5 linked regions of the Macaca mulatta genome follow. The protein of the gene in region 1 purifies or fractionates together with the protein of each later gene. This does not show direct contact. Links are inferred from orthologs where the notes say so. Each region holds a gene or a part of one and is shown on either strand. Other genes may lie near its edges. The genes, in order: STK11, CDC37, COPS3, PIP4K2A and FKBP5.

Evidence for each region.
Region 2: the proteins of STK11 (region 1) and CDC37 purify together in Homo sapiens (affinity purification with mass spectrometry; 8 studies listed by BioGRID and IntAct, with this or other methods). This does not show direct contact. The link is inferred for Macaca mulatta from reciprocal best matches to the Homo sapiens genes STK11 and CDC37.
Region 3: the proteins of STK11 (region 1) and COPS3 purify together in Homo sapiens (affinity purification with mass spectrometry; 5 studies listed by BioGRID and IntAct, with this or other methods). This does not show direct contact. The link is inferred for Macaca mulatta from reciprocal best matches to the Homo sapiens genes STK11 and COPS3.
Region 4: the proteins of STK11 (region 1) and PIP4K2A purify together in Homo sapiens (affinity purification with mass spectrometry; 3 studies listed by BioGRID and IntAct, counting the BioPlex papers as one, with this or other methods). This does not show direct contact. The link is inferred for Macaca mulatta from reciprocal best matches to the Homo sapiens genes STK11 and PIP4K2A.
Region 5: the proteins of STK11 (region 1) and FKBP5 purify together in Homo sapiens (affinity purification with mass spectrometry; 8 studies listed by BioGRID and IntAct, counting the BioPlex papers as one, with this or other methods). This does not show direct contact. The link is inferred for Macaca mulatta from reciprocal best matches to the Homo sapiens genes STK11 and FKBP5.

Annotation. Positions count from the first base shown.
Region 1 is NC_133424.1:1,889,864-1,894,408, reverse strand, and holds part of STK11 (serine/threonine-protein kinase STK11), read right to left. Parts: intron 4,409-4,545; coding exon 4,325-4,408; intron 3,479-4,324; coding exon 3,389-3,478; intron 2,133-3,388; coding exon 2,000-2,132; intron 1,925-1,999; coding exon 1,788-1,924; intron 1,293-1,787; coding exon 1,165-1,292; intron 571-1,164; coding exon 513-570; intron 1-512. UniProt on the Homo sapiens protein: Tumor suppressor serine/threonine-protein kinase that controls the activity of AMP-activated protein kinase (AMPK) family members, thereby playing a role in various processes such as cell metabolism, cell polarity, apoptosis and DNA damage response.
Region 2 is NC_133424.1:11,129,104-11,134,122, forward strand, and holds the start of CDC37 (hsp90 co-chaperone Cdc37), read right to left. Parts: upstream 3,476-5,019; 5' UTR 3,412-3,475; coding exon 3,310-3,411; intron 2,128-3,309; exon of another isoform or gene 1,905-2,127; intron 416-1,904; exon of another isoform or gene 1-415. UniProt on the Homo sapiens protein: Co-chaperone that binds to numerous kinases and promotes their interaction with the Hsp90 complex, resulting in stabilization and promotion of their activity. Inhibits HSP90AA1 ATPase activity.
Region 3 is NC_133421.1:18,800,345-18,804,889, reverse strand, and holds the end of COPS3 (COP9 signalosome complex subunit 3), read left to right. Parts: intron 1-1,828; coding exon 1,829-1,942; intron 1,943-3,285; coding exon 3,286-3,366; intron 3,367-3,696; coding exon 3,697-3,750; 3' UTR 3,751-4,013; downstream 4,014-4,545. UniProt on the Homo sapiens protein: Component of the COP9 signalosome complex (CSN), a complex involved in various cellular and developmental processes.
Region 4 is NC_133414.1:23,998,713-24,003,257, forward strand, and holds part of PIP4K2A (phosphatidylinositol 5-phosphate 4-kinase type-2 alpha), read right to left. Parts: exon of another isoform or gene 2,004-4,545; intron 1,973-2,003; exon of another isoform or gene 1,779-1,972; intron 1,077-1,778; coding exon 833-1,076; intron 1-832. UniProt on the Homo sapiens protein: Catalyzes the phosphorylation of phosphatidylinositol 5-phosphate (PtdIns5P) on the fourth hydroxyl of the myo-inositol ring, to form phosphatidylinositol 4,5-bisphosphate (PtdIns(4,5)P2). Has both ATP- and GTP-dependent kinase activities.
Region 5 is NC_133409.1:146,648,926-146,653,470, reverse strand, and holds part of FKBP5 (peptidyl-prolyl cis-trans isomerase FKBP5), read right to left. Parts: intron 1,702-4,545; coding exon 1,559-1,701; intron 639-1,558; coding exon 524-638; intron 1-523. UniProt on the Homo sapiens protein: Immunophilin protein with PPIase and co-chaperone activities. Component of unligated steroid receptors heterocomplexes through interaction with heat-shock protein 90 (HSP90).

The sequences.
Region 1 (4,545 bases):
CAGCGCCTCAGGGGTCCGGACACTCCCACTCCCAGAGCTGGTCTCTGGGGGGCCTCGGGGCTCGAGCGACCCCAGGGGCTGGTGCAGAGGAGCAGAGCCCACGAGGCGAGGGAGGTCGCACTGCGGGGCCTGCTGTCTTCCCTGTCACAGAGCTGGGTGCCCTTGGCTGGATCCCAACCAGACCGTGCTGCTGGGAGCCCCAGGAGGAGGGTAAAAAGAGGGGCTCTCGCCAGCGTTCAGGGCCAGCTGTGCCTTTCCCGGTGTGTCTCTATGCCTAGGGCAGAGACGGATGCACGTCCTCACTCAGACCCCAGCTCAGACAAGGCCTGTCTGGCCACTAACAGGGCACTGCCCAGAGACCCCACTTGGGCCCTGAGAACTGCGGGCGCTGCACGGGGTCTGGCCCCAGCCCAGCACCCCCACCATGCCCTGCTCTGGTGCCCACTCAACCAGCTGCACACGTGGCCAGCCTCCCTGTGGTCTTGGCCCCACTGCCCCCAGGGGCCGCTCACCTGTGCTGCCGGATCTGCCGGATGGAGAACCTCTTGGCCGGCTCGTACTCAAGCATCCCTGAGGAGAAGCCGGCGAGGAGCCAGTCAGCCAGGCACAGGCCCGAGACCCCACCAATCATCCCCACCTGACCAGCCTCTGTTGTCAGGCCCCAGGTGATACCTGGATGCTCCCAAGGGGGGCCCCCTTGAGATGGCCTCCCTGACAGAGGCGACTCCAGGGGACAGGCCAGGGACAGCCTCTGCGTGCCTGCCTGGGAGACAGGGCTGGGCTGGACAGGCAGGGCAGTTCCATTCTCCCAAGGCCACTGGGCAGACGGACAGACGGCCAGTGCCACCTGCTGCCCACACACAGGAAGTGCAGCAGGACGAGCCTGACACAGGCCAGGGAGCCCCCGAGGGCGGGGCTGGGGGAGGCGCAGGGCAGCACTGCCCTCAGGGGTGGGAGTTGAAAGGTGAACAGGGCCCAGAAGCAGGGTGGAGCTGAGGGACCCACAAACCAGGCCCTAGTGGGAGGCCGGCCTCTCCGCTCAGTCCTCTCAGTGCCTGCAGGGGTCTCAGGGCCAATAGCCCCCCACCTAACACCCCCCACCCTGCATTTCTGCACAAAAGCCCCGCCTCCCTGGGGCTGTGGGCAGAGGGACGAGGCCCCCACCTTTCAGCAGGTCGGAGAGCGGGGGGCCACAGTCACCCGGGATGGCGTAGCTCCCCTTCCCAATGTTCTCAAACAGCTTGTAGATGTTGTCCCCTTCGAAGGGGTACAGACCCGTGGTGATGTTGTAGCTTCATTCGAGGGGAGGGAAGAAAGGTGTGGTCAGTCAAGGTGGTCGACGCCCCGGGAGCCCCACCTCTGCCCCAGGGACGGAGCCCTCGCGTGGCTGCTGGACCACAGGCCCTGCGGACTCAAGGACACCTCTGTCTTCACCGCCTCCCACTAGTGGAAGCCATGGGGCAAGAGAGGAGCGTCCTCTGGACCCACCCGGGGAGGGGCCTGGAGCCACTCTCACCCGCCCAGCTTTCCTGTGGGGCTCTGAGAGGAGGATTGGTTGTGACACTCTGTGAAGATCCCTGACAGGCTAGGCTGCATGTCACATGGGTGAACCACCATCTGCCGTGTGAGCTACGTCTCCATAAAGTAAGCACCCCCAGTGGCTGTGGTCAGCGAGGGTCTAGGCTGGTGGCTACGCCCTGCACCCACAGGCCAGAAGCTGCCCAAGATGCAGAGGCCCCTCCGGGCTGTGCGTGTGGCGAGTGCCGGGGCGGGGCCGGGGCACTTACAGGGTGACCCCAGCTGACCAGATGTCCACCTTGAAGCCGGAGAAGGTGTCCAGGCCGTTGGCAATCTCGGGTGGCTGGAAAGCCGGGGAGCCCTGGCTGGTCCGGCAGGTGTCGTCCGCCGCGAACGGGTGCAGTGCCTGTGGCAGTGCCGTGCAGCCCTCAGGGAGTGCCCGGGAGGGGGCGCCCCAGGGCCCCCCCTAGCACGTGCCTACCTCGGCCACGCCCAGGTCGGAAATTTTGAGGGTGCCCCCGGTGGTGAGCAGCAGGTTCCCGGGCTTGATGTCCTTGTGCACGATGCCCTGGCTGTGCAGGTACTCCAGGCCGTCAATCAGCTGACAGAAGTACCTGCGGGCAGCACACACCTGTCTTGGGACCGAGGCCTCCCTGTTCCTCACAGGGGTCCCCTTTGCAGCCGCCTGGGAGCCTCCCAACCACCACAGGCCCAGCTGGGGAGTCACGGAGGTCCAGGCACACAGGACAGAGGAAAAGCTGGGTCCAGTAGGGAGCCAGGCCTGCGCCTGCAGTGACCACCCTCATCCGGCCGAGTCACGTCTGGCAGGGCCCCGGATGTCCACAGGTCTCATTTCCCTGTGGGCCACAGGCCGGCTGCACCCCAAAGGCTTGCTGAAACAGCAGGCCCCTCCCTGCCCCTGCAGTCCTGCAGCAGCAAGGGGCCCTGACTCTGCAGCCAACAGATCTGTACCAGGAGGTCCGGTCGGGGCAGGTGGCTGCTGGGACGGGATGGGGTGAGCTGCCGGCCTCAGGCAGCAGGCCCAGCAAAGATGGAGGCAGGAGGTTGACAGCAGCCCTGCCCGTGGATACCACACACAGGAGTCCCCAAAACTGTTTTTAAAAACTTGGGCCTTCACAGGGCGGGGCGTGGTGGCTCACGCCTGTAATCCCAGCACTTTGGGAGGCCAAGGCGGGTGGACCATGAGGTCAGGAGATCGAGACCATCCTGGCTAACACGGTGAAACCCCATCTCTACTAAAAATACAAAAAATTAGCCAGTCGTGGTGGCGGGCACCATGGTCCCAGCTACTCGGGAGGCTGAGGCAGGTGAATGGTGTGAACCAGGGAGGCGGAGCTGGCAGTGAGCAGAGATCGCACCACTGCACTCCAGTCTGGGCGACAGAGTGAGACTCCGTCTCAAAAAAAAAAAAAAAAAAAAAGGCCGGGCGCGGTGGCTCAAGCCTGTAATCCCAGCACTTTGGGAGGCCGAGACGGGCGGATCACAAGGTCAGGAGATCGAGACCATCCTGGCTAACACGGTGAAACCCCGTCTCTACTAAAAAATACAAAAAAACTAGCCGGGCGAGGTGGCGGGCGCCTGTAGTCCCAGCTACTCAGGAGGCTGAGGTAGGAGAATGGCGTAAACCTGGGAGGCGGAGCTTGCAGTGGGCTGAGATCCGGCCACTGCACTCCAGCCTGGGCGACAGAGCGCGAGACTCCGTCTCAAAAAAAATAAAACAAAAAAAATAAAAAACTTGGGCCTTCATGTCAATGAAGATCAGGACAAGCCGTGTGGCCACAGGGAAAGGAGCCTGCCCTGCCCGGCCCCCAGCCCCTGCTTCACCCCAGCCCCTGCCCCGCGCACACACCCGTGGGCCTGGCACACCGGGAAACGCTTCTCTGGCACGCTGTCCAGCATCTCCTGCATGCCACACACGCAGTACTCCATCACCATATACGTGGGATGCTAAGGACACACAGCTCAGGGGGCGGCCCCACTCACAGGCCCGGAGAGCACAGGGGCCAGAGAAGGGGTTCTGGAGGGACCCTCCGCAACCACTCTGCCCCTCCTCGGACCAGGGCCCACCCTGCCCCTCCTCGGACCAGGGCCCACCCTGCCCTCACACCCCTCTGAAAAGGCCCCAGCGTCTGGGAGGAAGGAGCCTCCATGGGAGTGGAGGACAGGGCTGACTCTTGGGGCAGTGTTCCTGCGGGACTCACGTCCCCCACCCCGCCCATGGGCGGGGGATGATACCTCCTGGACGCCCCCACAAGCAGGCTCGGGTCCACACAGGATGGGGCCCACGGCCCCTGACTGCGTGACTCTGAACACAGCCCCAGCCTCAGGACCACTTCTGCTCTTGCTCTGGGCACAGGGCCTCAAGCAAAGTCCCCGTAGGGAAGCTGTGCCCGTAAGACCCATGGGGGGAGTCTACCGATGACACAAGGACACGCTCAGCCACGACCAAAATGGCCCACAACATTCAGCCTGCGTGGCCTGCCTCAGGCAGACCCTGGCCACATCCCGGTTAGCCTTGGAGAAGACTATGAGAAAATAGGGTCTTGACACCCCATGGCTCCAGCACACAGGACACAGGACACAGGGGCCGGGGCTCGGGGCCCGTTTCAGCAGCTGCTCAGCTGCTGCCACAATGGTTGACTTCCAGGAAGCCAGGGAAGGCCACTGCCTTTGTGTGCCAGTCTCCTTCAAGTAGACAGGAAGGGGAGCAGGCCTCGGGGCAGGCGGACCCAGGGCCCCAGCCCCTCCCACGGAGGCCCCGCGGCCCCAACACCAGAAAGGATATATTTTCTGCTTCTCTTCGTTGTATAACACGTCCACCAGCTGGATGACATTTTTGTGCCGTAACCTCCTCAGTAGTTGAATTTCCCTGGGACAGAGAGGACAGGGGGGTGTCAGCCAACCTCAATGTCAGGACGATGACCCGGATCCCTGGAGTTGGGCCTCCCCATCTCCCCATGGAGGTGGCGCACCTCCGCCCTTCCCTGGAGAGAAGCCGTGGGTTCA
Region 2 (5,019 bases), about 9.2 Mb from region 1:
CTGTGTCCTCTGAATAGCCGCCAGGGAGGCCACAGCTAAAAAAGGCCTCTTGGAGTTGGTGGGGGCGGCAGCCTGCCCAGCCTGGGCTTTACACCTCCCATTGGGCAGGGGCTGTAGCAGGCTGAGCAGGGGAGAAGCCACCCCAGCAAGCAGGGCCCACAGGTGTCACTACCCTCCTGCCTTAGAGTTAGGGAAACTGAGGCTCATGAAATCTCAATGTCATATAACTCATTAGAAGAAACCATTAACAGCAGCTATCTCTGGGCAGGAGAGTCGGCGAGCTGGGGCTAGGAAAAGGGATTCATTTGTCCCCTTTTGGAACCTTTGGAATTTTTTGTTTTTTTTTTGAAAAGACAAGGTCTTAGGCCAGGCTTGGTGGCTCACACCTACAATCCCGGCACTTTGTGAGGCTGAGGTGGGTGGATCGCCTGAACTCAGGAGTGTGAGACAAGCCTGGGCAACATGGTGAAACCCTGTCTCTACCAAAAATACAAAAATCAACCAGGAATGGTGGTGTGCACCTATGGTCCCAGCTACTCAGGAGGCAGAAATAGGAGGATCACTTGAGCCCGGAAGGTGGAAGTTGCAGTGAGCCGAGATGGCACCACTGCACTCCAGCCTGGGTGACAAAGCAAGACCCTGTCTCAAAAAAAAAAAAAAAAAAACAAAAAACAAACAAATCAAAATTAAAAAAAAGAAAAAAGAAAGACAGACAAGGTCTTGCTATGTTGCTCAGGCTGGACTTGAACTTCTGGGCTCAAATGATCCTTCTGCCTCAGCCTCCTGAGTAGCTAGGACTATAGGCATGTGTCCCCACATGTGGCTGTGGAAGTTTTTTTTAACCATTCACAAAAATTATTTAAATGATGATGACGGTAATAGCTACTGCCCCAAAAGGATTACAAATATTAAACGAATAAGGTAACCCTTACAACAACCCTATGGGGTGGACATCATTCAGATTCTCAGGTGCTCAGGCACAGAGCAATCAAACAATTCCCTGGCACTCACGCAGCATGTGAGTGATACACAGAGCTGAGATTTGAACCTAGTCAGGCCTGTGCTCAGAACCACAGCGATCTCTCCTTCCCCTCCACAATGCTTCCTTCCAAACCTGCCCCAAGTTTTCCTGCCCAGTCTTAATTTATTCTTACAAAAGTCTCAGGGAGGTGGGGTCATAGTATCCCAGGTTTCATACGGGATCAGGGAGGCCTGAGTCTTGCCACATCAAAGAAAGAAAGAAGCAGCAAGAGGCAGGACTAGGATTGGAACGCAAGCTTGCCTGTCCTTGAACCTGTGCTGGAGACGCTGAAGCCCCCTGCCTCCCTTACGTGCCACTACAACCACCGGGTTCTCAGCGGTAGGACAGGAAAAGCTCCGTGCCAGAGGGAGGAGGGTGTGGCAGGTACACTACGCTGCAGGAGGGGGGCCCTCCCACTCGGCAGGACCAAACCATTCTCCACAGTAGTAAAGATTAACCTCTTTATGTGACAGAAATAGGTCTTCCCAAGAATAGTCTTTGGAGCTTTGTGGAAGTCTTAAATATTTCATAATAAAATGTTACACACGGCAAGAAATAGAAGCGCTAGAACTTTCTTCCCACACTCCAGTGGCTTGCTTGGCAGGTACACTACCCAGGAGACTCAGGATTTAAGGAAGAGGTCTGGAGGTGGGACTGGGAGCTAGATAAAGAGACTAATGCCGTATTCTGGAGTATTCCAAAATGATGGGGAAGGGAACTTCTAGTTGTTTCTTGGATAAATGATGGGGAGTTGTCCTATGAGAGGGTGGGGTAAGAGATCCTCACTAGAAGGTTCTGAAAGGTATATGCCCTTAGTTTAAGAGTACAACATGGCTGGGTGCAGTGGCTCACGCCTGTAATCCCAGCACTCTGGGAGGCCGAGGTGGGTGGATCGCCTGAGGTCAGGAGTTCGAGACCAGCCTGACCAACATGGAGAAACCCCCGTCTCTACTAAAGGTACAAAACTAGCCAGGCGTGGTGCCGCATGCCTGTAATCCCAGCTATTCAGGAGGCTGAGGCAGGAGAATTGCTTGAACCCGGGAAGCAGAGGTTGCAGTGAGCCAAGATTGTGCCACTGAACTCCAGCCTGGGCGACAAGAAGGAAACTCCATCTCAAAAAAAAAAAGAGTACAACAGACACTGATATGTGATTTGGGGTAGCAGGAGGTTAAACCTTTAAGTCTTAGTCACCCCATTGGCTTGTGAGCACTGAGGGGGTGGTAGGACATGGATCACTCAGACTTGGGATTCTGGGGTCTGGATTTGGGGGTTCTGTTGTGGTCCGATAGAAGAAGGGGTAGTGAATTTAGAATCAGACCAGGAGTCCCTGGAAAAGAGCAGGGACAATTTGGGTCACAGAGTAGCGATCAGGTTGGGGATACAAGGTGGGGTGGGTTTGGGGTCCTGGGCTTGAGTTAGGGGAGTTTCCAATGCTGGCCAAGGCTCATACAGGAAGCCAGTCTGGGAGGTGGGTGGTGACAGGGTCTGCAATACCAAGTAGGGGCAGGGGCTCTGGCTGGGCCGGAAGCCACGTGGGCAGGATTTCCTGGTCTAATGGGAAATGGGTCTACCCGAGGCCAAAGGAGAGGCTGGAATGTGAGGCTCTGTCGGGGTGGAGCTGGTAGTTAGATCCAGAGGGGAACCAGGTTCCACAACCGAAGTCCTCGGTGAGACTAAGGATCCTGAAGGGGGACGGCTCTACACTCTAGGAAGGGGGTCCCGGGTGTGGGCAGGGACAGGAATATCAGAGTAGCACAGAGTTCCTTGTACCGTTTAGAAAAGGAGTGGCGACTCCGGATCTGAATGGGAACCCCGGATCAAGATCCCGGAAAGTAGATCCCAGGACAGACCAAAGTATTGGGGGTCCAGACTACGGAGGTGGGGGAGGGCGACGTGAGATCCCAGATAGGGAGTGGATACCCGAATAGGATGAGGGATCATCTAGAAGAATTTGGGGACCAAACTTTGAGGCAGAGTTCTGGGTGTAAATGTTAACTCCGAACAGAATTAGGGAGACTCGTCTAAGGGAGTCCAGACTGAAGAAGTTCTAGGGGGTGAATAGGGAATCCCACGCAAAAATCGGAGCAGGGGGTTGGGGGGAGATCCCGAGCAAGGACTCAGGGTACCAGTGGTACTGGGGTCCTGGAGTTGAATCGAGGCTCCTGAAAGTCCAGACTGAGGGGGTGAGAATCCTAGGTGTGAACAGTGGGGTCCCTAGGCAGTATCGGGGACCACAACTCTGGAGCGGGGTCCGGGAGTGGGGAAAGGGATGGGCGCGCGCGCCTTACCTGATGCCGCCAGCGGAAGAGGCTGGCCGTGTCGATGTTGGGGTGCGTCTCGTCTTCATCATCAGACACCTCAATGTGGTCCCACACGCTGTAGTCCACCATCTTGCCTTGGCGGCCCAGCCCGCTACGGCTCGGTTGGCGGCGACGGCGGCGGCGCTGGAGACTTGGTGCGCGGAGCCCCGCCCCTTCCGCTTCCGCCCGAGTGCGGGGGAAACCCCGCCCATGCCTGACGTCACATCCCTAGTAACCGCGGCAGCGGCACTGGCTACCCATTCTGCCTTAAAGGGCCTTGCGCAAGCGTTCCAGTCCCCTGGAGTTCCCGCAGAGACTCCACCTTATCGGGCGCAGGGGCTCCGCTAGGTCTCCTGGGGGCATACGAGTGGGCACTTCAACTCCTAGCCCCCCTCATCTCCCGCCTCTCCACGGTGGGCGTTTGGGGTGGCAGGGAGAGGACGGTTGATGAGACTAAGAGGACTGTCCCCTCAGCTACGCCGCAGTGACGTCTGCAAGGGGTACGGACACGGCGGGAAGGCCCTCCCCCTGCCCTTCGTAAACGGGGACCTAAGCCTGCTCTGGAGAGGGGCGCCTGACGACTCCTGGGACTTTCTCAGCCCGAGGAGGACTGGACCTGCCCTGGGGGTGTCTAAATCGAGGGTGGTATGGCCCTCCCCTTGAGGGGTTAAACATAGAGGGGAGATTGTGGCTCTGCCTTGGGAGCCTTCTCCTCGTCCTCCAGCTCCGGCCATTAGCAGCAAGGACTCGCGCGCGCGCACATACACACACACACACACACACACACACACACTTTGGAATCACCCGGACCCCCCATAACGGGTCTCGGCGCCCCACCCCGCGTGACCGCTGGGTGTCGCTAGAGTCTAGCCTACGGCGCGTATTCCTGGTCCCGCGCTTGGTGGGGGAATCTTGGAGGGGTGGAAGGGGGCTTTCCTTTTCGTCACAGTCTGGGGTCACGCATAGTCCCTCCCCGTTTGTCTGGGGGTACCCTTCCTCCGCCGGGGCTCTAAGGACTCCATTACTCTAAGCATGCAGGGCCCTGGCCTCACACTTCCACGCATCCCAATCCGCGCTTTTATACCAGGATAATAGGCCGCGTTGCAGTCTCGGGCCAGGATTATTTTAGATTAAAGGGTGCTCCATCGGGGGTCAGGCTGGATAGGAGGAGCTCCAGCCACTCGGGTGAGGGGCGCCTCTTCCCAGTCTCCCCTGGAGCCGACGTCGCAGGCGGTGCCCGGAGAGAGCGAGCGAAAGTCTCCAGATGGGGGGAATTCCCCAGTGCATGGAGGGGGAGGGGCCATCGGACAAAAACGCCCTCCCGCTGCCGCCCCTCCCCCTCGCGCTTCATTCAAACCCGCGAGTGGGCGGCCAGGGGCGGAGGAGTCCCCATCTCCTCCCCCTCCCTCTTCACCTCTACCCTGGCAGTCCAGCACATCAGTGGCTGTCACGGCCCGGGCACGCGCGCGCACGGACCCACACCCCGGCGGCTCTCACAATCGCACACACACATACACACACACCAGCAAACAAAGGGTCTGGACACCCCCGTCCCCTCCCGCCCCCCAGGCCAGAGAGGGCGGGGCATCCCCTCCCCAGCCCCCCCGCAAGGTAAGCTTGGGGCTGCGAGCTGCGGTGGGGAGGGGGACCCGGTGCCATGGTGGGAGGGGGCCAGGACTGTAGGGAGTTCCCCGGCTC
Region 3 (4,545 bases), on another chromosome or scaffold:
TCCAGAGCTAGAGAGGAGTAGGCCAGCAGTTTCACTGCTAACAAATGGACAAGTGATTATCACCGTGTGGAACATCTTGTTAGAAATTAAATACCTGTTTGGCACTTTTATTGGTATCTCACTTTTTGACTTCATGGGCAAGATTTGGCTTTGAGGATCAGTCAAATAAATCCCCAGTAACTGATGCAAATAAATGATATATAGACCTTGAATCTATCTTGGAATCCCCAGTGGTAGTGAAGTTATCTTGAAGAATCAGAGGACAGTTTCCACTGGGATAAAATGAAAACCTGTCAGGCTTTACTTTTTAAAGTACAGTGGCCCAGCCTGGCCAACATGGCAAAACTTCATCTCTACTAAAAGTACAAAAAATTAGCTGGGCATGGTGGCATGCACCTGTAGTCCCAGCTACTTAGGAGGCTGAGGCAGGAGAATCCCCTGAACCCAGCAGGTGGAGGTTGCAGTGAGCAGAGATCGAGCCACTGTACTCCAGCCTGGGCGACACAGCGAGACCCCATCTCAAAAACAAAAGGCAATGTAAATTATATCTCAGTGCAGTTGATGTTGAAAAATGCAAGGGCACCTCAAACACATCATGCTAAGGGAAGCCAGACCACAAAAGATTACATAGTGTATGATTCCATTCATATATCCAGAAAAGGCAAATCCATAAGAGACAAGAACAGATTGGTGGTTTCCAGGGACTGGGAGGAAGAGGAGGGAATGGGGAGGGACTGCTGATGGGCCTAGGACCTCTTTCTGGGGTGATGAAAACGCTTCAGAACTAGAGATGGTGGTTGCACAACATTGTAGAATGCATTCAGTGCCAATTAATTGCTCACTTTAAAATGGTAGGCCAGGCGTGGTGGCCCATGCCTGTAATCCCAGCATTTTGGGAGGCCAGGGCGGGTGGATCACTTGAGGTTAAGAGTTCAAAACCAGCCTGGCCAACATGGTGAAATCCCGTGTCTATTAAAAATAGAGGCCAAGGCGGGTGGATCACTTGAGGTTAAGAGTTCAAAACCAGCCTGGCCAACATGGTGAATCCCATGTCTATTAAAAATACAAAGAAATGGCCAGGCGCGGTGGCTCATGCCTGTAATCCCAGCACTTGGGGAGGCCGAGGTGGGTGGATCACCTGAGGTCGGGAGTTCAAGACCAGCCTGATCAACATGGAGAAACCCCATCTCTACTAAAAATACAAAATTAGCCAGGCGTGGTGGCGCATGCCTGTAACCCCAGCTACTCGGGAGGCTGAGGTAGGAGAATCGCTTGAACCCAGGACGCGGAGGTTGCAGTGAGTGAAGATTACGCCATTGCACTCCAGCCTGGGCAACAAGAGCGAAACTCCATCTCAAAAAAAACCAGAAGACAAAAAAATTAGCCTGGCATGGTGACAGGCACCTATAATTCCAGTTACTTGGGAGGCTGAGGCAGGAGAATTGCTTGAACCCGGGAGGCAGAGGTTGCAGTGAGCTGAGAACGCACCACTGCACTCAGCCTGGGGGAAAGAGCGAGCCTCCATCTCAAATAAATAAATTAAATTAAATGGTTAATTATGTTGTGTGAACCTCACCTCAATAACAAAAATGCAGGGGCAGGGATTTTGTGTGTGTGTATCAGTTTTACACCTCTTAGCATCGATAATGCTGCCTAGCAAATAGTAGGTATTTAATAAATACTTGGATAAACATGGCACTTAAAAATATACAAGTTTATTTATATCCATGTTGCCTTCTATGCTTCTCTCTGATTATACTGGATGACTATTCATATAGCATTCAGATCTAAACTGCTTTCCTGTTTTGTTTTGTTTTTTTTTTTGTAGATAGAAGATGGTGAGATTTTTGCAAGTATTAACCAGAAGGATGGTATGGTCAGTTTCCATGATAACCCTGAAAAATATAATAACCCAGCCATGCTTCATAATATTGATCAGGAGGTAAACATGAATGCCAGGTTTTTATTTTTTTAATTGATGGTCGAGATGTATTTGAAATACTGCTTCTATGTTCCAGGATAATTTTAGTTTTAAGTACAGGTAGTTCCCAGTCTATGAACATCTTAGTTACTAGAAAGTTAATTTCAAAATGGGCTGCTTAAGGACAATCGCTTGAACCCTGGAGATGGGGGTTACAGTGAGCCAAGATTGTGCCACCGCACTCCAGCTTGGGTGACAGAGCAAGACTCTGTCTCAAGAAAAGCAACAACAACAAAATAAACCCAGAATGGGCTGCTTAAAACTCTTCCAGGCTGGGTGTGGTGGCTCACGCCTATAATACCAACACTTTGGGAGGCTCAGGTGGGTGGATCACCTAGGTCAGGAGTTCAAGACCAGCCTGGCCAACATGGCAAAACCCTGTCTCTACTAAAAAAGAATAAAAAATGAGCTGGGTGTTGTGGTTTGTGCCTGTAATCCCAGCTACTCTGGAGGCTGAGGCAGGAAAATCTCTTGGAACCTGGGAGGCAGATGTTGCAGTAAGCTGAGATCGTGCCACTGCACTCCAGCCTAGGCAACAGAGGGAGACTGTCTCAAAAATCAAAACTCTCCCAGATTGTATGGCTATAAATAAATGGTGGGTTAGATATCCCAGCTAGCTTATCAAAACCTCCCTTAACTCTGAAAACACTTAAAGGCCCTAGTATAACTTTATCTATTCACAGCTGCCACTTAAAACATAGAGCCTTGTGTTTTTGCTGAAATGTCTGGAGTTCCAGGTTGGGAGATCAGGAAACATCTCTGGAGCTATGTGAGAAGCAGAGCCGGGGTGGCTGGAGGAGAAGAGCAAAGCCCTCCCTGACAGTCCCCTTCAGGCAACACTGGGCTGCAGCCTGTCTCCTGAGGGCATGCTGTCCTGATTCTGGCGGCTGAAGGGGGCGTTTTGTGGGTGGTCTCTGTTTTTTACCTCTGAGCAGTGAACTGAACTGAATATTAAATCTCAGAAAACTTTTTTTAAAACAATTTGATCGCAAAATGTCACCTGAAATGGTGTCTAGTCTTCATTTTGATCTCAGTGTGAATATACTCCAGTTTCCCTGCAAAAGATACTATGTGTTTGATTATGAGGTTTGCCTAGATCCTGCTGGGTGGGATGTTGGGTATTATATGGTACATGTATTAGCTTTCTGAGTCCAAAATACGCTGGCTCCAAAACCCATGTGGCCCCAGGGGTTTCATGTCAAGAGATTGTGAACCTACAGCGCCCTTGTGAACAGTCGAAGTTAGAAAGGATGCAGCTGACCTAAACCTGCTGCTGACCACCTTCTAATGTGCCTGTCATGCAGATGCTGAAGTGCATAGAGCTGGATGAGCGGCTGAAAGCCATGGACCAGGAGATCACAGTGAACCCTCAGTTTGTACAAAAGGTGATGAGGGTTCCCCTTGTTATAAGAAGTAGGCTGGGTGGAGAAGGAGGGGCGTTGTCACATCAGGCACAGGAATTAAGTTTCAGGTTACTAAATATTTCTTGAAACCCTTACCAGTACGGTCATGGAGAAATACTAGTTGAGAGCATTTTCAAACAATGGCCTGGAAGTACACTTAGGGATGCTTAGGGTGGTTCCTGGAATTGCCTGCCCTTGTTCACAGGGTGGCTTTGTTCTGGGAGGGACAGGGTAACTGGTGTGCTTATTGGGCTGCTGGGGAACCCTCGATAAAAGCAAACATAAATACATAACTTCACTTTCCCTTTACAGAGTATGGGCTCACAAGAAGATGATTCAGGAAACAAACCATCCAGTTATTCTTGAAACTAACATCCATCCTGAGCTAAACAAGAGAAACTACCATCTTGGCCAGTGGCAAGTGTTCGGAGGGCAGCAGAGAGGACCAAGCCTGTGTCACCTGGAGACTAAGAAATTAAGTTTTGTTTTGACATCTTCAGTCCTATGTGCTTTCAGAAAACCATTCTCTCTGCAAAGAAAGGAAACAGATTTGCAAACTTTAAAGTCTGTCGTGGATTTATTTATCCTCAGATTATTGTTATTGCATTAAATCTACCTTTTTGTTTTAAGTTGCTTGAACATTAATGTTTCTTCTGCATCACTTTTTTGTCCTCTGAAAAGTTTTTAATAAGTACATTCATTGTGAACAGAAATAGTTGGATTTTAGGAATTTTTGGAAGATTTGAATCTGAAAGTTGTTTTATTCATTGACAAATTTGTATCTTAAAAAAATATAAAAGTTGTCATCAGTGTCTTCAGAAAATAAAAAGAAAAAAAGTCCAGACAGACAGACATAGTGGCTCCCACCTGTAATATCCTAGCACTTTGGGAAGCCGAGGCAGGATTGCTTGAGGCCAGGAATTCAGACCACCTTGGTGAACATAGTGAGACCCTGTCTCTATTTACGAAAAAAAAAAAGAAAACAAAGGATAGCGTCCCTGAGGCATAAGTTAATTTTTAAAATTAAAATTAACATGCATATTAGTAAGAATATGAGTTGTGGATTATGAGATGCCATTGGTGCTTCACTTTTTTTTGTTGTTGTTGGAGACAGGGTCTCTGTCACTGAGGCTGCAGTGCAATGGTGCCATCACGGCTTAC
Region 4 (4,545 bases), on another chromosome or scaffold:
ATTTTGGTGAGCAAAACAGAAACAGAACAAAACAGAACTCACATCCTCAGCTGATATGCCATTTGAGATAAAAAAAAAAACCGATGAGCCACAGTTTTTATTATTCAAAAAACAAGAAACTGTTTTTATCCTATCACGAAAATATTTTGGTTTTGTCATGGATCAGTTGCTAAGGTAGGATGTAATATTCAAATAACTGGTGCACCCAATCACCTGGATACGGTGGATTAAGATTTATCTGACTCTAGGGAAGAGGCCACAGGCCTGCCAACTGGGGAGGACGGCAGAGCCAGTCTAGGCAGCAAATCAGATTCCCACCCCACACACACGGCCCAGCTTCACACACCCTTCACATCCCTGAGAGGGAGCGCGCTGGTGGTGATGACAAGAGGACAACCTAAGGGTCACAGAGGACCACATGTGTGTTCCTTAGATTCATGATGCTTTTGACTTAGATAAAAAAGATAACTAAGCAAAAATGTATTAGTATTTTAAAGCATTTCTGGTGTTTGTGTATGGGTGCATATGAACATGTGTTGTATGCCAGTGTGTATGTGCATATGTACAGGTGTGTTGTATATGTATAGTATAGTTTGTGGTTTTGCTGTTTCCCTCAACATCACAGAATTCAAAGGTCCAATTGCCTTATGTTTCATCACTGAGATCACGGTTACCTTTAACATATTCTTGTCCTCAAATCCATTTCTTTGGAGTTTGGAGGATGAGTGCTGCCGGACAGCACCCTCATAACTGGGGTAGTGATTCCTGGTAGATGACAAGGCCAAAGTCAAACCACTTCACATGAAAAAGGGTCCACAGTAATCAAACTTACTTTCATGGCACTTAATTCCATAGACGTCGATGTTCGGATCGAACTCCCCGGGAGCCAGGGGTGGTGAGCTGTTCAGTGTATTCCCGGGGCTATCTGGGGGGGTCCCCACCGGGTGGGTGCCGTCGCTCTCACCCTCCTCCTCCCCGTCGTTCTCCTCACACTCCACTTCCTCCTGTTCAGCTCTCTCCACATCGTGAATTCCCACCAGCAGACTATAGTCCATGAGCTTCAGCTGGGCCAGAAACTGGGGACAGAGGAGACAGGGTCAGTCAGCCACACCTTAAACATAAAAGTCAACGTTTAAAAAAAGGAGACAAGCTCGGGTGACACCCAGAGGGAAGGCTGCGGAGTGGGGCAGCAGAGGCGCCCGGTGCCTCCTTTATGGATGTTCTTACACTCCGGAGTGGAGCCTCACACTTCAGGCTGGCTCAGAGCTCGGGCCATTTTCCCTGGAATGCCACACTGGAGGCGGAGAGGCGTGGATCTATCACAGGGTGGCTGGGTTTCACCAGAGAGCAGGAAGCATGACCAGTGAGAGATGCAGAGAGAGACTGGGAGGGAGAGCAAGTTCCTTCCAACAATTAAGACAGGCTAAGGGGGAAACCCAGGCACCTCCCAAGTAGCTTCCAGCGGAGTCTCTTGCTGTGGTTCGGGAAAGCACCTTGGAATTCAGCACACTCTGCGGCTGCGGAAGCGATCGTTACGCTGTTGCAAATAAGTAAAAGCAAAGGCACTGTGTCCACCTCTGGTGAGCAATGCAGTCCTGTCCGGGTCAACAAGGTGCTTTCCACCAGGCCCCACACACCCAGGATTCCTGTCCTCCCTCTCCTCCTCCAGCCGCGGCTACAACATAATGTGGGGGCAAGACCCAGCTCTGTGTGTTTGGCTACTCCTGTCTGCCCAGTTCTTTTTTGACTTTTCAGATCACGATTTCTTTTTGTTTCCCTTTTCTGATTTGAGACCTTCAGCACAACGTTCCAATAATGCCATAAAATGTGGACGGTTATGCTGACTGAAAACAGTGGCAGCCCATCTGTGGGCTGGACCCAACTGGCTCCCCTGGCCCCGTGGCTGGCTGGCTCTGCACAGGGTCCTGTTCCACTGTGACCTTGGGCTCGGGGTCCAAGAAGGTTCACGGTCCTGGCTCTGGAAGGACTCAGCGCCACCTCACTAGGGAATGCAGAGTGGCTGAGCAGCCTCTGGGCTACGCTGATAGAATTTAGGAAGCAAATGTCCTCATGCAAAGGGCAAGCAGAGAAAATCACAGGTCTTGAAGTTCTGGCTAAAAATGAAATCAATTTGTTGAGCCCCGCAGAGCCATTTCTCCTCAGCCTGCTGGGAAGGAGTTTTGTCTCGAAACTGAATGAGAAGCCCTGATTCCTTACAGATGAGGAGAGGACCCCTGGGCACAGGTCTGTCCCACTCTCCAGCTGGTTCCCAGTGCCTGCAATTCTCCATCAGCCAGCATCCCGCTCAGCCCCGCAAACTGGCCAGAGCTCCCACTTTGCAGCCTTCCCACCAGGAATCCCCCGGGGCCAGCTACATCTTCCCCATTTGTTCCGAGCTCAGAAAATAGAAATTATACAAATCTTACACTCAAATATTTAAGCAAAGTGGGAGAAACCTGTTTGTTTAAAAAGAGAGGCAAACCCCTCGTGGAAACAGCATGGGGCTCCTGCGTTCAGCTTTCTGGGGCCCAGAGAGGAGAGGAAGCCACCGCTCATCCCCCTGGCCTTTCCCCAAACTCCCCCATTACAGTAAACATGAGAACCAACTTTCCACTTGCACCTCCCTCTGCCAGATTCCTTTCCAGCATCCTGCTCTAGAATCTCGGCAGCTGCCAGGCTGTGGGGAGAAATCTGCAGTGGTGGAAGGCTCACTTGAGTCCTCCACCAGCGCGGTGAAGCCAGCCAGGGAGCTGGGTCTCGGGTACAGCTCCGCTGTATATGGGCCTGTGGATTGGAAGAGAACTGGGCACTCCAGGGTATAGAGACAGGTGACAAGATCCAAGGCAGGGGGCAGGCTCTCCGTGTGAGACAGCAGCCAGATTCAGCAGCTGGACGAGAGTGCAAGGATTCAAATCCAAGGAGGGGTGAATTCAGGGCCCGTTCTGAGCCCGCACTCTCTGCTCTGTATCAGCTACTTCTGGAGGCTGCCTGAAAGCAGCTTTCCCCTCTCCTTTCGCAACCCTAGGAGGAAGGTAATGAGTTAAAATCAGCTGGCATCGGAGGAGGCCCTCCACACGTGACTCGGCGCTGTGGGTCTCTGGACTACCGGTTAGGTGGTCAGCAGCAGCACGCCTGGCACCGCTGTGATCATGGAACCTGCTTCCCCGTCCCTGTCAGAATGCCCTGCGGGCCTGGGGTTTCAGAAGCCTATTTGGAAAATACTGCAGCGTAAGTACCCAGTCTTCTCCAACGCTTGAGGGGTGTGTGTGGGGGGCACTCATGGTGGGCCCACTTCTCCCTGCCCTGTTGTTCCAAGGCCTCTGGGCTCCTGGAGGACTAGGCCAGGGTCTCCTTCGCCACCTCCGCTGCCCCTCCCAAGCCTAGCATGGTGCCTGGCTCTGCTCCCTGGATCTACGGCTTCCCTGGCCTCCCTCCCTACACCTGGAAGCCTCTCTGGAGCCAGGCCAGGCCTTGCTCAGCTTGAGCAGTGACAGGGAAGAGGCCCCCCCTCCTGTCCATCCCTGCTCCCTCTGGGTGCTTGGAAGGTCCCTGTGAAGTGGCAAAGGCTGACTGGTGCCTCAACCTCCCCTCCAGTCCTCTGCAAAGGGCACAAGTTTTCAAAATGTGAACCTGATCACATCCTGTTCTGCTTAAGACATTTCCATAGTGCCACGTTTCTCACGGGGCACAAACAAAACTCACATGGTCCAGAAGGCCTGGATAGCTTGGCCCCATCCACATCTGGAGCCCACTTGAGCCCTGCTCTGCCCGCTTCCTGGGCTTCTTCCCTGTGGGCAGGTACTTCCTCCTGTGCCTTCAGGCCTAGCGGCAGGGCACCACACAGAGCAGCACAGCCCCGGAGTCTGGGTGTTTAGGGCACCGTACACTCCCTCCCCAGAGGCACATGGCCTCGTTGCACATTCACTTTGCTGGAGTATTTGAAAACTTCTCTCTTTCCCAAGCAAGGCAGCCTCTCAAAAGGGGCTCTAAAGTTTTGGCTTTCACTGCATTCCCGACTCCCAGCAGGCAGAGGGCTCAGGAAAGTATGCGGCACTTGTTGGACAAGAGAATAGGCTGCCTGCTACTTTATCCCTATCTGTCCCCCCAGCTCTCCCTAACTGTCCCCAACCTGCTTCCACCAGGAAATAACTACTAAAGGCAAATACAAACAACAAAGCAACAACAGAAAACCTTTCTGAGGCTGCATGAGGCAACATCTCTCGGAAGGAAGCGCAAGGCGACCATTTAATACGCTTCCCTTAAGAGGAAGGTCTACGGGCTGACCTTCAAGTGTGTTTTAGTTACAGAAGTCGGGGCTGTCTGCGATTAATTTGCCAAAGGGCAGGGAGGGAAGGGGACAACTGGGATTGAAAAGCCGCACTCACCATGGTGAGCCTTCAGGGCTCAGCCTCCCCTGGCACCCCATCTGGGCTCCTCGCCACACTGGGCAGCCCAGAGTAATTTTCCTGGGCCTCAGGCCTGTGGTCAGACTGCTTATTCTCATCTTCCAGTGAGGAAGAAATAAAGGTGCAGTCAACTCCTAGC
Region 5 (4,545 bases), on another chromosome or scaffold:
GTTGCCCTGGCTGGTGCCGCATTCCTAAGCTCAAGAGATCCTCCTGCCTTAGCCTCCCAAAGTGCTGGAATTACAGGCGTGAGCCACTGTGCCCAGCTAAGACTATCTTTGAGATATATTCAATACTTTTTTTTTTTCTGAGGCAGAGTCTCGCTCTGTCACCCAGGCTGGAGTGCAGTAGCACCATCTTGGCTCACTGCAACCCCCACCTCCCCGGTTCAAGTGATTCTTGTGCATCAGTCTCCCAAGGAGCTGGGATTACAGGCATGCACCACCACGTCTGGCTAGTTTTTTGTATTTTTAGTAGAGATGGGGTTTCGCCATGCTGGCCAGGCTGGTCTCAAACTCCTGAGCTCAGGCAATCCGCCCGCCTCCACCTCCCAAAGTGCTGGGATTAAAGGCGTGAGTCACCACGCCCAGCCGATATGTTCATTTCCATAAACATATTTTTTTTAAGTCTCCATTTCGTCCACATAAATGGTCCAACTTTTAAGGACTAGTTCCCTCTTACTTTAATACTTACTTTCTACTGTTGCTCCTTCGTTTGGATTTGAATATCCCTCTCCTTTCCGTTTGGTTCTCCGGATAATGCCTCCATCTTCAAATAAGTCCTCTCCTTTGAAATCAAGGAGCTCAATCTAGAAAGAAAAAAGGAATTCAGATGAGAAAAGACCAAATAAAGCCAATTTAACATATGTGAAGGCAAGGGCAACCAATTATTTCATTTTACAAAATAAAGCTGTTTCAAAATGTATACATTCATTTATGCATCTTAATTATTGGAAAAGTAGCAAAAAAAAAAAAAAAAAAACCCACTATACTTTTCCATACTTGGAAAGAATTTCACATAATGATAATGTCTAGGACTATATCCTAAGGGACTGCGGTGCAGAGACAGGAAATACTAGGAACACTACCCTGTGGGCAAAAACCCAGAGCTTTACAAGGTGCTGGTGTAGAACAGTTTGTCTGAGGCCACAACTTTCCCACCCTGGATTTATGGAGTTCCCTTCTCAAAATGTAAACATAAATTTCATGAATGTGGCCTATGACTGATTAAAGGTATATTTTACCTAGCTGGGGTAGTTCTTAAAAATCAAGTTTTGCCAAATATATGTAATTTCAACACAGGTTGAATAATGTTTTATCACCATCAAACACTTCTAGAGAAGTGAGATCTGTGACATATAAACCTTTATAATATGAAAATACCCTGCAACTTGACATAGGCATATTTCAACATTTATTGCCAACATTTCCATCCTGCATTCTGGTCAATTTTGAGTATGTCACACTCACACCATGGACCAGATTCTTTATTTCTAAGTGTAGTGTCTTTTGCGTATTTGGATATGACCTTTTTGTGGTGGAAATACGTTTCTCAAAAAGCACTGGCACGTGCACCCTTGGGTTTGTGGGAAACAATCCAAGAAGCCATGCTCCAAAATAAGTAAGTTGGATGTGATTCTCTATAGCTCCTTTTCCCACTGCCTGTTGCTTCAAAGCCATTCCTATTGTAGAGCAGATGCTGACAAGGCAACATCACACACATACTTGCCTCAAAAAAGAGAGTTGCATTCGAGGGAATTTTAGGGAGACTGCCAGCTGAGCCATATGCATATTCTGGTTTGCACAGTAAATGGCATATCTCTCCTTTCTTCATGGTAGCCACCCCAATGTCCCATGCCTTGATAACTTGGCCTAAGAGAAAGGAAAAGGTAGTTGAAAGCTATCAGCCCTATTTAAAAATATTTAACTTTCATTAAACAAAAGTTCAAATTTCCAGTTTTTCATACTACATATTCAGCTAGAAAGTATGGGCTACAAGATGACCGAGTGCTACATACAAATAAATAAATATTTATTTATTTCAAGGCTATCATAAAAGATTCCCTGTTGATCGGCCCAGCACTTTGGGAGGCTGATGTGGGAGGATCGCTTGAGTCCAGGAGTTTGAGACCAGCCTGGGCAACATAGCAAGACCTCATCTCTTAAAAAAAAACAACAAAAAAAACCCCCAAGGAACACAGCTGGGTATAGTGGTGCACACCTATAGTCCCAGCTACTCCAGAGGCTGTGGTGGGAGGACTGCTTAAGCCCGGGAGCCCAGGAGGTTGAGGCTTCAGTGAGTCAAGATTATGCCACTGCACTCTAGGCTGGGTGACAGTGAGACCTGTCTCAAAAAGGATTCCCTGCTGAAAGGGATGAAAGTAGTATAAATTCCTAAACTACTCAAAAATTAAGTCTTTGAAAACTGGTGGTAACATTATCCATGAAATATGGCTGTGTTGCAACTGTTGCTTAATTTATCATTTCAACTATAATAAGCACACATTTTCTAGGCAAAGATAGAACAAAAATAGTATTGAAAAATAGAGTTTGTCCTAAGGAAGCTTGTAATTTAGTTGGGTAGACAAAAACAAAACAAAACAAAACAAGAAGTAACCAGAACAATATAAATTGCATAAAAGGGTCTATGAAACACATTTCTTCTCGAAATTTAGAATCAGAAAAAGGTTTCTTTAAACAAAAACGTATGTGTCTTTTTGTCAAACCACAACTACAGAACTTAAAATGTTTTATTTTTTGCCTACTTCCAGGAAACTAAGTTAAATTTACTGCTCAATTGTAGGACTATATTAGGCTATATAATTGTAATCTCAATGTTTACAGTTCCTATGATGTGCATCATTATCTTACTGTAAGCAGTATCAAGTCCTTTGGGAAACAATAGAAAATTCAGGCAATTTAAAAGGCTAATTACATTTTGGTGGGGCATAGTGGCTCACGCCTGTAATCCTGGCACTTTAGGAGGCCAAGGCGGGTGGATCACTTGAGGCCAGGAGTTCAAGACCAGCCTGGCCAACATGGTGAAACCCCGTCTCTACTAAAAATACAAAAATTAGCCAGGCATGGTGGTATGTGCCTGTAATCCCAACTACTTGGGAGGCTGAGGGAGGAGAATCACTTGAACCTGGAAGGCAGAGGTTGCAGTGAGTAGAGATCATGCCACTGCACTCCAGCCTGGGCAACACGGCAAGACACTGTCCCAAAAAAAAAAAAAAAAAAAAAAAAAAGGCTACATTACAAATGAGGTACTTTGTTAATCAAAAACATTAAGTATCTGGGGGTTGGGCACGTTGGCTCACGCCTGTAATCCCAGCACTTTGGGAGGCCAAGGTGGGCAGATCTCTTGAGCTCAGGAGTTTGAGACCAGCCCAGGCAACATGGTGAAACCCCATCTCCACAAAAAAATATTGAAAAAATGAGCCAGGCGTGGTGGTGCTTGCCAGCTACTCAGGAGGCTGAAGAGGGAGGATTGCTTGAGCCCAGGAGGTCGAGGTTTCAGTGAGCTGAGATCATGCCACTGCACTCCAGCCTGGGCAGCAGAGTGAGACCCTGTCCTGTCTCAAAAAACAAAAACAAAAATGTAAGTATTCAAAGTGGGATCAGATAAGAGATGAACCCCAGAGGAAGTGAATTTGAAGTGAGCTGGTGGTAGGATATTAGGACAAGTGAAACCCTACATAACCGTATGTAAGCAGGGATGGATAAACCATTTGTCATTCATGATTTTAGCTTAATCTTCATTAAATATTACAACTTTTCCAAATGTAAGCTACATTTATTTCAGTTAAAAATATATGTTAAGTGGCCAGGAACAGTGGCTCATACCTGTAATCTCAGCATTTTGGGAGGCCAAGTGGGAGCATCCACTTGAGCCCAAGAGTTTTAAGACCGGCCAGGGCAACACAGTGAAACTCCTTCTCTACAAAAATTTAAAAAATTAGTGCAGCATGGTGGCACATGCTTGTAGTTCCAGATACTTTGGAGGTTAAGACAGGAGAATAGCTTGAGCCCACGAGTAAGAGGCTACAGTGAGCAATGATTATGTCACTGCACTCCAGCCTAGGTGACACAGCGAGACCCTGTCTCTTACAAAAAAAAAAAAAAAATTATTCAAGTAATACATGCCTATTATTAAAACACCCATGAAAGAGATGGAAAGTCAAAGCAGAAAGGCCATCCATTTGTTCCTTATAAGTCACTGTTTTGTTTCTTTGGTATCCTACTGTGTGCTGTACCTTTTTAAAAAAATTTAAAACACAAATGACAGTGACCTAGACATTCAGTTCTAAACTACTTTTTCATTTAATATATATCTTCATCCTCTTTCTCCAACAGTAGAAAGGAGGATGTACATTTTAGAGGTCAAAAATGCAGCATACTCTAACCTCAGACTACCTGGATTTAAATACCAAGTTTGCCTTTTACTATCTGTGTAAACTTGTGCAAGTTACTTAATCTCTGTGCTGCAGTCTCCTCACCTGCAAAATGTAGATAATAACAGTACTTGCCATATGTTTTCAGTTGTTTTAAGAATTATTAGACAAAACACATCAAATGCACGGCATGGTGCCTGGCACATAATATGTATTTGATAAAGGAAAAACATTATTGGGTGTATAATACAACAATCTCCTATTGATGCATATATTACCAACAATAATCTAATGAGACTACTTGTCCATTTATGTTTGCCTA